3 linked regions of the Xenopus tropicalis genome follow. The protein of the gene in region 1 binds, or shares a complex with, the protein of each later gene. Links are inferred from orthologs where the notes say so. Each region holds a gene or a part of one and is shown on either strand. Other genes may lie near its edges.

Evidence for each region. The genes of interacting proteins can lie anywhere in the genome.
Region 2: med8 (region 1) and med24 share a complex: the UniProt entries of both Homo sapiens proteins name them as parts of the mediator complex. The link is inferred for Xenopus tropicalis from reciprocal best matches to the Homo sapiens genes MED8 and MED24.
Region 3: med8 (region 1) and med21 share a complex: the UniProt entries of both Homo sapiens proteins name them as parts of the mediator complex. The link is inferred for Xenopus tropicalis from reciprocal best matches to the Homo sapiens genes MED8 and MED21.

What each region holds. Positions count from the first base shown.
Region 1 is NC_030680.2:88,531,562-88,535,061, forward strand, and holds part of med8 (mediator of RNA polymerase II transcription subunit 8), read right to left. Parts: intron 3,494-3,500; coding exon 3,375-3,493; intron 2,086-3,374; coding exon 1,941-2,085; intron 1,865-1,940; coding exon 1,724-1,864; intron 1,647-1,723; coding exon 1,565-1,646; intron 441-1,564; coding exon 195-440; intron 78-194; coding exon 13-77; 3' UTR 1-12. UniProt on the Homo sapiens protein: Component of the Mediator complex, a coactivator involved in the regulated transcription of nearly all RNA polymerase II-dependent genes.
Region 2 is NC_030678.2:112,543,924-112,548,067, forward strand, and holds the start of med24 (mediator of RNA polymerase II transcription subunit 24), read right to left. Parts: upstream 2,801-4,144; 5' UTR 2,620-2,800; intron 1-2,619. UniProt on the Homo sapiens protein: Component of the Mediator complex, a coactivator involved in the regulated transcription of nearly all RNA polymerase II-dependent genes.
Region 3 is NC_030679.2:3,066,106-3,070,178, reverse strand, and holds the start of med21 (mediator of RNA polymerase II transcription subunit 21), read right to left. Parts: upstream 2,801-4,073; 5' UTR 2,775-2,800; coding exon 2,733-2,774; intron 1,181-2,732; coding exon 1,066-1,180; intron 1-1,065. UniProt on the Homo sapiens protein: Component of the Mediator complex, a coactivator involved in the regulated transcription of nearly all RNA polymerase II-dependent genes.

The DNA.
Region 1 (3,500 bases):
CAGAACAGGCTTTCATCGCTGATATGGGTGCATTGAGGCAGATTTAATGTTGGTTTTAATACTGCTGGGCATCTTACCTGTTTAATGACATTAAAAGATAATTTACATAAAGGAATGTGGTCAAAGTAAAATGAATACATACAAAAAGAGAATATCCATTACTAAAATAGGTAAACCATGTAAATAGCACCTACCTGGCTGGCTGCCCTGTGACATTGATACTCCAGCCATGTGTTGTTGCTGTTGGTTTGGTGGCAATGACATTGGAACCTGCATACCTGTAGCATTTGGAAGCATGCTGCTGGCTCCTGTCTGTCCTGGAGCCATAGGACCACCTTGTCCTGGTGGGCGACGATTTGAAAGTCCTTTTCCAAATGCCACAGCAGCTACAAGTGCATTTGTGTCGGTAGGATTAAATGTTTGCTTGTTCTGTCTTAAACCTAGATTAAGAAATTACACATGTACAATGTGACCAAAACATGAAGTTACAGAAAAATATAATTCTGTGATACACATTATTTCTACACTACAAGTATGGGATCCATTAGATAGTTTGTAGTCAATAAAGGTGTTAAAGGGATGGGTCACCTTTTGCCGCCTTCTACTGCTTCTTTTCACCTTCAAATGAGGGTCACTGACCCCAGCAGTCAAAAACTATTGCTCGGTGAGGATACAGTTTTATTGTTAATTATTATTACTTATCTCTCCATTCAGCCCCTCTACTATTCATATATCAGCCCAGTAAAGTGTCTGCCAATATTATAAGTGCAGAAGATCAGTGAATAGCTAACTGCAAATTGTTTGCTGTGTGCTAATGGACCAGGGCAAACTTTGTCCATGTTTACATAACTCCATTTTCTCCCTTAAGCTTTGTAAGAAACACATATATGAAATATTTAACACACATATACAATCATTTCATATTTTACATATTGCAGAGAAACATGGCATTAGAGATGCCTTGTTTGACTAATTGTTGATTGGTACTAACCCTAACACAAACCCAACCCGGCCTCCTGGAATTCCCTATATACCTGCACCCAACCTGCTTTTACCGAAGGGGGTGAGCATAGAACAGCGTGAGTATATAAATTAAATGTACCCGTGCCATTTGATTAGGACAGTTTGTTGGTGAAGGCTAGCAAGGAGGAGCAGTGGCAAGGATCCTGACCCCTAGAAACTAAAAGACACCTATCAATCTTAACTGTTTCCCCCACTGAAGGTGTGGCCTAAAAAAACTTGCAAATAATAATATTTCTTTAGGTAAATTCCCACAGAATAGGATATGTTCCCGGTGCTGGCACATAATAAGTGTGCTAGGGCACATCCGCACTACTGCAGTATGTCTGATATTTGCCCAAAGTGTGGACACTGGCTTTAATAAAAAAAAGAACTAGTATAGAGTACTTTATATACTGGTAGATAATTGACATTTTCTTATGAATGCTGATTTAATGCAGAGCACTATTTATATAAACAATTCTCTGGTACTGCACAGAGTCCAGAGAGAACTATAGCAAACTCAACATGTCATAGCAGCTATCAACCCAAACCAAATACTCACTTCCAAGTTCAGACTCCCTCTCTTCTTTGCTAATTTTGTCTAACAGATTGGAACACATTTTGTTCATACTCTGAACTTGTTTCTAGAGAAAATAAAACCAAATCAGCAATATGGACAATGTGGCAAAAACCAATAAAAATGCTTAGAGGGGAACTATACCTGTGCAGCCTCAGAGGTGATACGGGCTGCTTCAGCACTTAGCTGTTTTTCTAGCTCTTCCACATCAGGGTCTGGTTTTGTTCTCAGGTGATCTGGTACCACTTCATGGCTAAATACTGGAACCCTACCTTCTGTCAGACGCTGTAGGCAAGGAAAGGTATGACAGCCAAAGTTTGTACAAGATTTGTCATCAAAAGCAGTTATTTCATAAACTTACCATGATCTCCTCATCTCTGTCCGGAGACAAAAGAAGTGGAATGATGACCTGGTTTCTTAGAAGAGGTGTCTTCTCGTTTTTAAGCACTTTGTTCAGTGTGTTCAATTGCCCAGACAGAAGTGCAAAACTATCAAGTACAGATGGCCTAAAAAAGATATACTAATCAGACAGAAACTGGCACATGTGGCTGAGACACACAAAAACAGGAATAATTCAGTCCATACGAATCCTGCCTTACTGACGGATTTTAGATTAACATTACAATTATTATATATTCTGCATTAGGAGTATAAGGAGATTTAAAATTCGCTTTCCATGGCTGCATAAGCAAACCCGCTGAATCGAAGGAAATGTGCAGTTCCTGTTTTGGTTGTAGAAACAAAAATAAAATAGAAGGCAAAAAAAATTAGACTTTAAAGAGACACATTTTCTGTTGCTTATATGACAAGAATTAAAAAGCAAAAAAAAGATTGTAAGCTTAAAAATCAAGGCCCTATGATACATTTATGCCAATAATTATCACTGTTTGTACTGAATCAAGGATGGGACAAACACTCTGATATTGATTCAGCAGAAAGAAGCCCAAAAGATTCTATTCCCTTTAGAAAAAAATGCAGAATAGTGGAAGTAATAAACACAGAAGCATTTTCAGGCCAAAACTGGCCCCTGACAGGTGGATTCCACTGCTCTCTGCAAACACTTGGGGGACTCAGATTTTATTGGCGTTTCCTTGTTGGTGGGAAAATGTCAGTTTCTGATTGGTACCACAACAGACTCGGTGTTTCCAAGATGGTTTTGTTGATTTATGCTGTTGTCTGGCAATATGCAGCATGGCAAGATCAAGATCACTGACTGCAAAGTAGTTTTATAAGAGACACAGCAGATGAGATTTCAGGTTAGCCGCTGGTCACAGGAGTGGGGGGGGGGGGGGGTGTTGAGGGTTACAACTGGGCTCTAAGCCTTTCCTTCTTAAATTTCACTGGGTATTCAGTTTATGTTGGCCAATAATTTTTTGTGTTCATCAAACAGTGAACTGCCCTACCTGAAAAACCAAACGTTTAACATTAAAATGTGTTTTATTATTGGGTACATTCACCCACAAATTTACTTTTTAACTTGCAGACATTTGCAACTGCTTTTCCAGTGTGATCCAACCATCCCAATCAATGCAGAATCTGTGATTATTTCTGACAGAGGGATTCCAAACCATCTGTGGCTAAATAATATTGGGCATATCTGGCATATGTTGTTATGCCAGATAAAGCACTGTTAGTAGCCTTTGCCAAGTGCTTGCTGTCCAGTGGGAGTATTTGAAATAACTCATGTGCCTCATCTGTAATGTTCTAATTTTGAGGCAAACCTCTCCTTTAACATAGAAAATAGTCTTCACTGCCAAATGTGTTCAATACTTTAAAAATATCTGCTTTAACACACCATGTCAGTCGGTCATACTCATTTTCAAGTTTGTGGATAAAGCCAACCAAAGAGTTTTTGATGTCAGAAACTTGAGATATAAGGGCATCCAGGCAAGCCTCAAGCTGCTTCTCTTCTCTCTGTAGG
Region 2 (4,144 bases), on another chromosome or scaffold:
CACACCAGCTGTCACCAAAAGTAACATATAAATAAGCAGTTATTTTGATTTGCAAATGTAATTGATGTTTTAGGCTCTTTTACTTTGGCATCAGACTTTGGTCTAATTTTTGTGCAAACTGTCATATTTTTTCACAATTTTGGAACAAGAAAAAAAGTAATTTAAGAGAATGCAGTGACTGAATGCGGGTCCAAGTGTTTTTAATGCAAGAACTAGGGACAGATTTTTCACAATATATGCACAAACGAAGGGCTACTTAAACAGAAGAAAATGTGTAAAATTGGCCAAAGTTCTTTAGGCTCTTTAGAGGATTCCAGTGCTCTGTCAAAACGACGACAATATTTTTCACAATTTAGGGACAAAAAGCTAATTTAGGAAAAGACAGTGAATGAAACTACTAAAATGCATCTAGTGTGTTTAGGTTCTTTTTTTCACAGTGGCTTTTGAAAGTCGACACGAAAACGAAGGCCAGATTTTTCACAATTTAGGCACAAATATGGGCCAATTTAGTGGAAGAAAATAGGTGAAATTGATTTTTTTTAATAATGTGGAGTTTTTTGTTTTTTTTAAATCACAGATGCATCAGAGGATCCCAGTGTTTTATGTGCAAACATGGGCCAGATTTTTCGCAATTTAGGGGCAAAAAGGTTAATTATGGAGAATATTATGGGTGAAATTGTCCAAAAGGTATCCTGAATTTGTAGGGTTCTTTTTACTTCTCACAGTGGAATCAGAGGATTCCAATGTCTTCTATGAAAACAAGGTTTTAACAACGCCAGCCTTTTCTTTGCTGGCATAGAAAACATTTAGGGTCAGATTTATATAAATCTGTATACAAGTTTTTACTGTGATTTAAAGAGGTGGTTCACCTTTAAGATAACTTTTAGTATGTTATAAAATGTACTATTGGCAACTTTGCAATTGGTCTTAATTATTTGTTTTTAATAGTTTTTTAATTATTTGCTATCTTTACATGGGGGTCCCCTGACCCCACTAGCCAAAAAACATTTGCTCTTTGAGGCTACAATTTCATTTTATTGTAACTTTTTATTCCTTATTCTTTCTATTTAGTCCCTCTTCTATTCATATTCCAGTCATTCACACCACTGCCTGGTTGCTAAGGTAACCAAGACCCTAGCAACCAGATAGCTGCTGAAATTGCAAACTGGAGAGCTACTCAGCAAAAAGCTAAATACATTCATTTTCTGAAACTCAGGGATTCAAATTAAAGAATCTGTGTCTAAAAGCTGACAAGTTCATCTTGAAGTCAATGGGAGTTGGATTTAAAAAATTCAAACTATTTTTCAATTCAAGTTAAAGATATCAATTAGAAATTTGGAAAACTGATTAAAAATGAAAGTACAAAGCAGCATGCATATAGTCACGCTGAAAAGTGAAAATGAATATTTTCAAAATCAGCCAAAAGGATTTTGTGTGGAACCATAGCTTTATAACTTTTTGAGATAATCTTAATTTTTCATCTTCATTACTGATTGTATGTAACAAAAGCTTCACTGCTGTTCTACTTTAATGAACAAGAAATAATCTCCTGATGCTTCTTTGCTCAGTTCTATACCAAGCAGCAGTTCTGTAAGACACTGATGACATTAAAGGGGAACTACAAAAACAAAACAAAAATTTGCTAAAGAGCCCCACACAACACAGAAACCTCTAATATACCTATCACTGTAATCTGTTCCTTCAAAAGGTATGAATAAATACCATTTTGATATGCTGAAATCTAGCTGCAAAACAGTTCTTCTCTTTCTGTATCATTTAAAATCCTGGCAGGGAAGGAGGGACTAAAACACTGATGTTACAAATTGTAACAACCTCTCCACAGCTTACAGACAGCATGCAAGATTCACATAACCCACAATGCATTGCACTGTGATGTTTCTTTCCTTATTGACATCACATGTGCAACAGGGAATTGTGGGATTGGGAATATGCAGACTGAAGACAGGTGACTACTGTTACATTTTATTTGAGTCACAAAGTAGTCAGCCAGATTCATGTATACTTTTCCAAATGCTTAAGTTGTGTTTGGGTGGAATACTCCTTTAAGGAGAAAGATATTGATCCCATTTAAAACTAAAACTACACACAGGGGGCTTGTCTGAAGCTAGTTGTAATGTTAATCAATGAAAAGCACCCTGCCTGACACAGGGGCAGTGGCACTCAAAACACCCAAGTACCAAAGACCTAATACAGTGTTAAACCAAGTCTACAGTTGTGTAGTAAATTTGGCCAGTGTGTATCTGAGTCTGCAATTCTCAGTCTGTGGGTTTGACTTTCATTGTTGACACCAGGGTCTGAGGAAGTGGAAAGTGATGGAGTAAGGAGTGCCCACTTTTAACTACAGTGCCCTCTGTACCACCTGTAAGTAACCACCTGTATGGCACAGTATTAGCATGTAATGTGTAAGTACCCACAGTGCTGGCATATATATATATATATATATATATATATATATAATCCCAATACACATGTATGTCATACAGTTCCTAACCAAATCTTCAGACTCCCACCTAAACCCTGCCAAAAACACTATAGCATGTCTCTATGTGCCCTGAGATGTCTCCTATATACGCTCGTAGTAACAGTAGCAGTACCCACCTCTCACTCATTCGCTGTCCCTATTACCACAGTGCCTCGCTAGTCACCGAGTAACTCGCTTTCCCTCTCTCGGCTATCGCCTCCGATGTCCGGTCCCCGGAAGCAACAATTTCGACCCCTCGCACAAAAGGGAATCGCCGCAAGGGGGCGGAGGGTGTACCAGTCCTTTACGGCTTACGTCATCCGTAACCCTGATGCGTGTAAAAATCGAATCGGCGCCATGTTGGGAAGGTCGAAACAGGAGGAAAGCGTGCTGGCTGCGTATAAGGAAACGAAAACCCGCCATCTTTGTAAAGGCCAAAACGGCAACTTTAATAGAGAGGAATGATGGCTAATTTCGGGAACGTCAAATTGTCATGGGACAACTTCTGCTTCATTTTTGGTTGATATTTTAAATGGAAAGTTAACTTTTAAATTAAATTGAAGTAGCTAGAAGATGGAAGAAATATAAGCCACTTTGCAACTGGTCATTTTATTAATGTATTTTTGCGTCTCCTATCTCCTTTATAAGTGGTTTCTGTTATATGTTTTTGGATCTGCTTTTATTAAAGGGACAGTGGCTTCAGTATAAAGTGCTTTATTGTCACCTCATAACAGCATTTGAGGATTTAGTTGTCAAGACAATCCTTAGGGTGATAATGCAGATTTGGGTTGGGAATAATGCTATTCTGGCCCTAGACATCCATAGTTATAGCTCAGTCAATCTTGTAATTTAAAAGGCCTAAACCCCCAAATCCCCGCAGATTCAGGTAAAGATGGCAGAGCCAGAGGAGTAGGGGCATGAACATGGTCATGGCATGGCCTAAACTCTCCTGTAAAAATGTAGATATTGCAAATAATTAACCACTCTGGGTATTTTTAAGACCATTTTTCATGTTGCTATTGAAAGTGAAGAGGAAACCCTGACTGACAGGTTTAGGGCTGCCACCTGGTTAGTATTTTACCAGCCTAGGGCATTGCCAGTATTACAAATTTACCATCAATGTACTTGGATATATATTTGTAATAACTAATCTATCTGACCAAGCACACCACTCCCATCTCAGCTCCAACAGACACCAGTCATACTACCAACATCAGATTTGACCCTTGATGTCACAACTCCATCCACCCTTTTATGTCACAGCCAGTCTCTATACTGACCTGCCCCTACCCCTGCTGGTATTATCTGTGCAAAAAGATGGCAAATATACATGTGGTTAGCTGACATGTCTGGTTATAGTACTGTTAACCAAGTGTTTTTTAAAAAATCATCTGCTCAGAAGGTCTTTGTGCCAGGTGCACCCCACACAATTGGATTACTGTATACCCAGTTCAATACCATCCATTACTGTCCCCAACAATCGTTATTAATGCCATCAGCTGACCAGATTTCCTTTGAGTGAGCAGCTAGGATTCTTCATACTGATCCAAAAACATGGTGTAAAGAGAAAACTGGCACTACAGAGTGCTGTACTGGCAAAAAGATAACGTTTACTCTACTAATGAATGTGGGTGTGGCTAAGGGAAAAGAAAGTGATCAGCA
Region 3 (4,073 bases), on another chromosome or scaffold:
TGAACTTCCCCTACAGAGGCCCATAGCAACAGACTGGGAAACGAGTATGAAGGCACTAAAGCAGAACAATCGATATAATGTTTTGATATAAATATAGGGGGGAGTGTATTTCCTGGTACCCATGTGACTGTCTCTGCTTCCTGTGCACGGGGGAGTGTATTTCCCGGTACCCATGTGACTGTCTCTGCTTCCTGTGCACGGGGGAGTGTATTTCCTGGTACCCATGTGACTGTCTCTGCTTCCTGTGCACGGGGGAGTGTATTTCCTGGTACCCATGTGACTGTCTCTGCTTCCTGTGCACGGGGGAGTGTATTTCCTGGTACCCGTGTGACTGTCTCTGCTTCCTGTGCACGGGGGAATGTGTTTCCCGGTACCCATGTGACTGTCTCTGCTTCCTGTGCACGGGGGAGTGTATTTCCTGGTACCCATGTGACTGTCTCTGCTTCCTGTGCACGGGGGAATGTGTTTCCCGGTACCCATGTGACTGTCTCTGCTTCCTGTGCACGGGGGAGTGTATTTCCTGGTACCCGTGTGACTGTCTCTGCTTCCTGTGCACGGGGGAGTGTATTTCCTGGTACCCATGTGACTGTCTCTGCTTCCTGTGCACGGGGGAGTGTATTTCCTGGTACCCGTGTGACTGTCTCTGCTTCCTGTGCACGGGGGAATGTGTTTCCCGGTACCCATGTGACTGTCTCTGCTTCCTGTGCACGGGGGAGTGTATTTCCCGGTACCCATGTGACTGTCTCTGCTTCCTTTGCACGGGGGAGTGTATTTCCCGGTACCTGTGTGACTGTCTCTGCTTCCTTTGCACGGGGGAGTGTATTTCCTGGTACCCGTGTGACTGTCTCTGCTTCCTGTGCACGGGGGAGTGTATTTCCCGGTACTCCTACCCCGTGTCTATAAACGCATTGGCTGATACACACAGAGCAGTGACAGACAGTTTCACACCCTTTGTGTGCTGGTCTGGTAGTCAGTGCTGGGGGTGTGTCAGTGCGCAGTGGGCGTGGTTACAATGGCATTTGGGTGGGTAACGGGGCAGTTTGGGGGCCACTCGCAGTCTCTCACCTTCAGTGGGGTTGGGCGGTTGGTCCTTGTTGATGCCCGTCTGGATGTTGCTGAAGGAGGCGGGGGGAGCGCACTGCTGGAGGACCCCGATGGCATTGCAGAACTGATCGGCCAGCTGGAGAGACAAAGGGGAGGGGTTACAACTCCATTCATCCAATGCCCCCCTGGCACTGAGGGAGTTAATAGGCTGGTATTAAACTGACCTGCTACATTGTGTCAGGAGTCAGAACCTGGGGGTGGAGCTGGGCACTGCTGCCAATAGCAAGTACTTATCTGTACCGGGATATATATATAGGGATTTACGGGGCTATATATGGGATATATGGGGCTATATATAGGGATATACGGGGCTATATATAGGGATATACGGGGCTATATATAGGGATATACGGGGCTATATATAGGGATATACGGGGATATATATGGGATATACGGGGATATATATGGGATATACGGGGATATATATAGGGATATACGGGGATATATATGGGATATACGGGGATATATGGGATATACGGGGATATATGGGATATACGGGGATATATATGGGATATACGGGGATATATGGGATATACGGGGATATATATGGGATATACGGGGATATATATGGGATATACGGGGATATATATGGGATATACGGGGATATATATATGGGATATACGGGGATATATATATGGGATATACGGGGATATATATGGGATATACGGGGATATATATGGGATATACGGGGATATATGGGATATACGGGGATATATGGGATATACGGGGATATATATGGGATATACGGGGATATATATGGGATATACGGGGATATATGGGATATACGGGGATATATGGGATATACGGGGATATATATGGGATATACGGGGATATATATAGGGATATACGGGGATATATATGGGATATACGGGGATATATGGGATATACGGGGATATATGGGATATACGGGGATATATGGGATATACGGGGATATATGGGATATACGGGGATATATATAGGGATATACGGGGATATATATAGGGATATACAGGGGGATATATAGGATATACAGGGGGATGTGGGATATACGGGGATATATATGGGATATACAGGGGGATGTGGGATATACGGGGCTATATATGGGATATACGGGGATATATAGGATGTACGGGGATATATATGGGATATACAGGGGGATATATGGGATATACGGGGATATATATGGGATATACAGGGGGATATATAGGATGTACGGGGATATATATGGGATATACAGGGGGATATATAGGATGTACGGGGATATATATGGGATATACAGGGATATATATGGGATATACAGGGGGATATATATAGGGATATACGGGGATATATATGGGATATACAGGGGGATATATGGGATATACGGGGATATATATGGGATATACAGGGATATATATGGGATATACGGGGATATATATGGGATGGGGCGGCGATATAATCCGCATCAGCTGAGGGAACCCTCATAGACATGGGGTTCTGGGTAATAAGATCCATTGGACACAGTGTGGGGGCTGCGAGCAATGAATGGAATAAACCATTAGTTACAATGTGACTATAAAGCCGAGATGGGACCCAACTGCGGGCAGCGAGAGGATGTATTTCCCTTCCCCACAAACCCCACAAACCCCACACACAGATAAAGCGCTCACCGAATTCAGCGCGTCCTGGAGCTGCGTCAGCCGGTCCGCCATCTTTCCAGCTGGCAAAGCCGAACCAGCCGCCCATACCTTCAGCGCCGCTTCCTATTGGCTAACTGGTACAATAAAGGTTTCTATTGGCTAAGGGTCACTGCGGCGTTTTCTCAATAGGAGGAACGAGAAACGCCTATTTCTATTGGCCAGCCTCAGTAGAGGCGGGGTTGTAACGGCGGAAAGGAGACTGCGCATGTGTACTTCTACCTACACTGGACGTTCCCTGCCAACTTGCTAAATAGCGTTCAGTGTGATACCTCTTTTGGTCGCTAGAGGGCGATGCTGCCTATTGGACAATTGTATTCAGGTTTTATATTCCATTTATGATGGAAGGGGGGGGGGGGGCCATAATCCTCCATGGGCTACACTTTTGCTGTGGAGTTGCTGCTACAGAGTCGCCAGTCTGTCTATGTTGTTTCAGGATAAATAGAATCAAGAAGAATTTAAAGAGACAGTGTTATTGGTGCCTGTGGGATTGCTGGGATTGCTCTCTAACCCTGATCCTGTTACTGGGGGGTCTCAGAGAGCGAGTAAATAAAGATAATTCCATAGAGATACAGTGGCCCTGGGGCCCCTGGTTAGCACATAAGGGCCCTAAGAAATTGGGACCCAAATTGAATATGACTTTCCCTTATTATCTGTATTGAAAAGCCTGTGTGGGCAGTGCCTGCTTAGACTTTCTTTTTTGTTATTGTGTGCCCAGAACATTCCTTCTCTGTATATTTGTATTTATACATATGGGTAGGAGGTGCCATAGTGTTTCCCTTAGACAGTACAGTATGGGGGTACAGCTTATTGTGTGCCCAGAACATTCCTTCTCTGTATATTTGTATTTATACATATGGGTAGGAGGTGCCATAGTGTTTCCCTTAGACAGTACAGTATGGGGGTACAGCTTATTGTGTGCCCAGAACATTCCTTCTCTGTATATTTGTATTTATACATATGGGTAGGGGGTGCCATAGTGTTTCCCTTAGACAGTACAGTATGGGGGTACAGCTTATTGTGTGCCCAGAACATTCCTTCTCTGTATATTTGTATTTATACATATGGGTAGGGGGTGCCATAGTGTTTCCCTTAGACAGTACAGTATGGGGGTACAGCTTATTGTGTGCCCAGAACATTCCCTCTCTGTATATTTGTATTTATACATATGGGTAGGGGGTGCCATAGTGTTTCCCTTAGACAGTACAGTATGGGGGTACAGCTTATTGTGTGCCCAGAACATTCCCTCTCTGTATATTTGTATTTATACATATGGGTAGGGGGTGCCATGGTGTTTCCCTTAGACAGTACAGT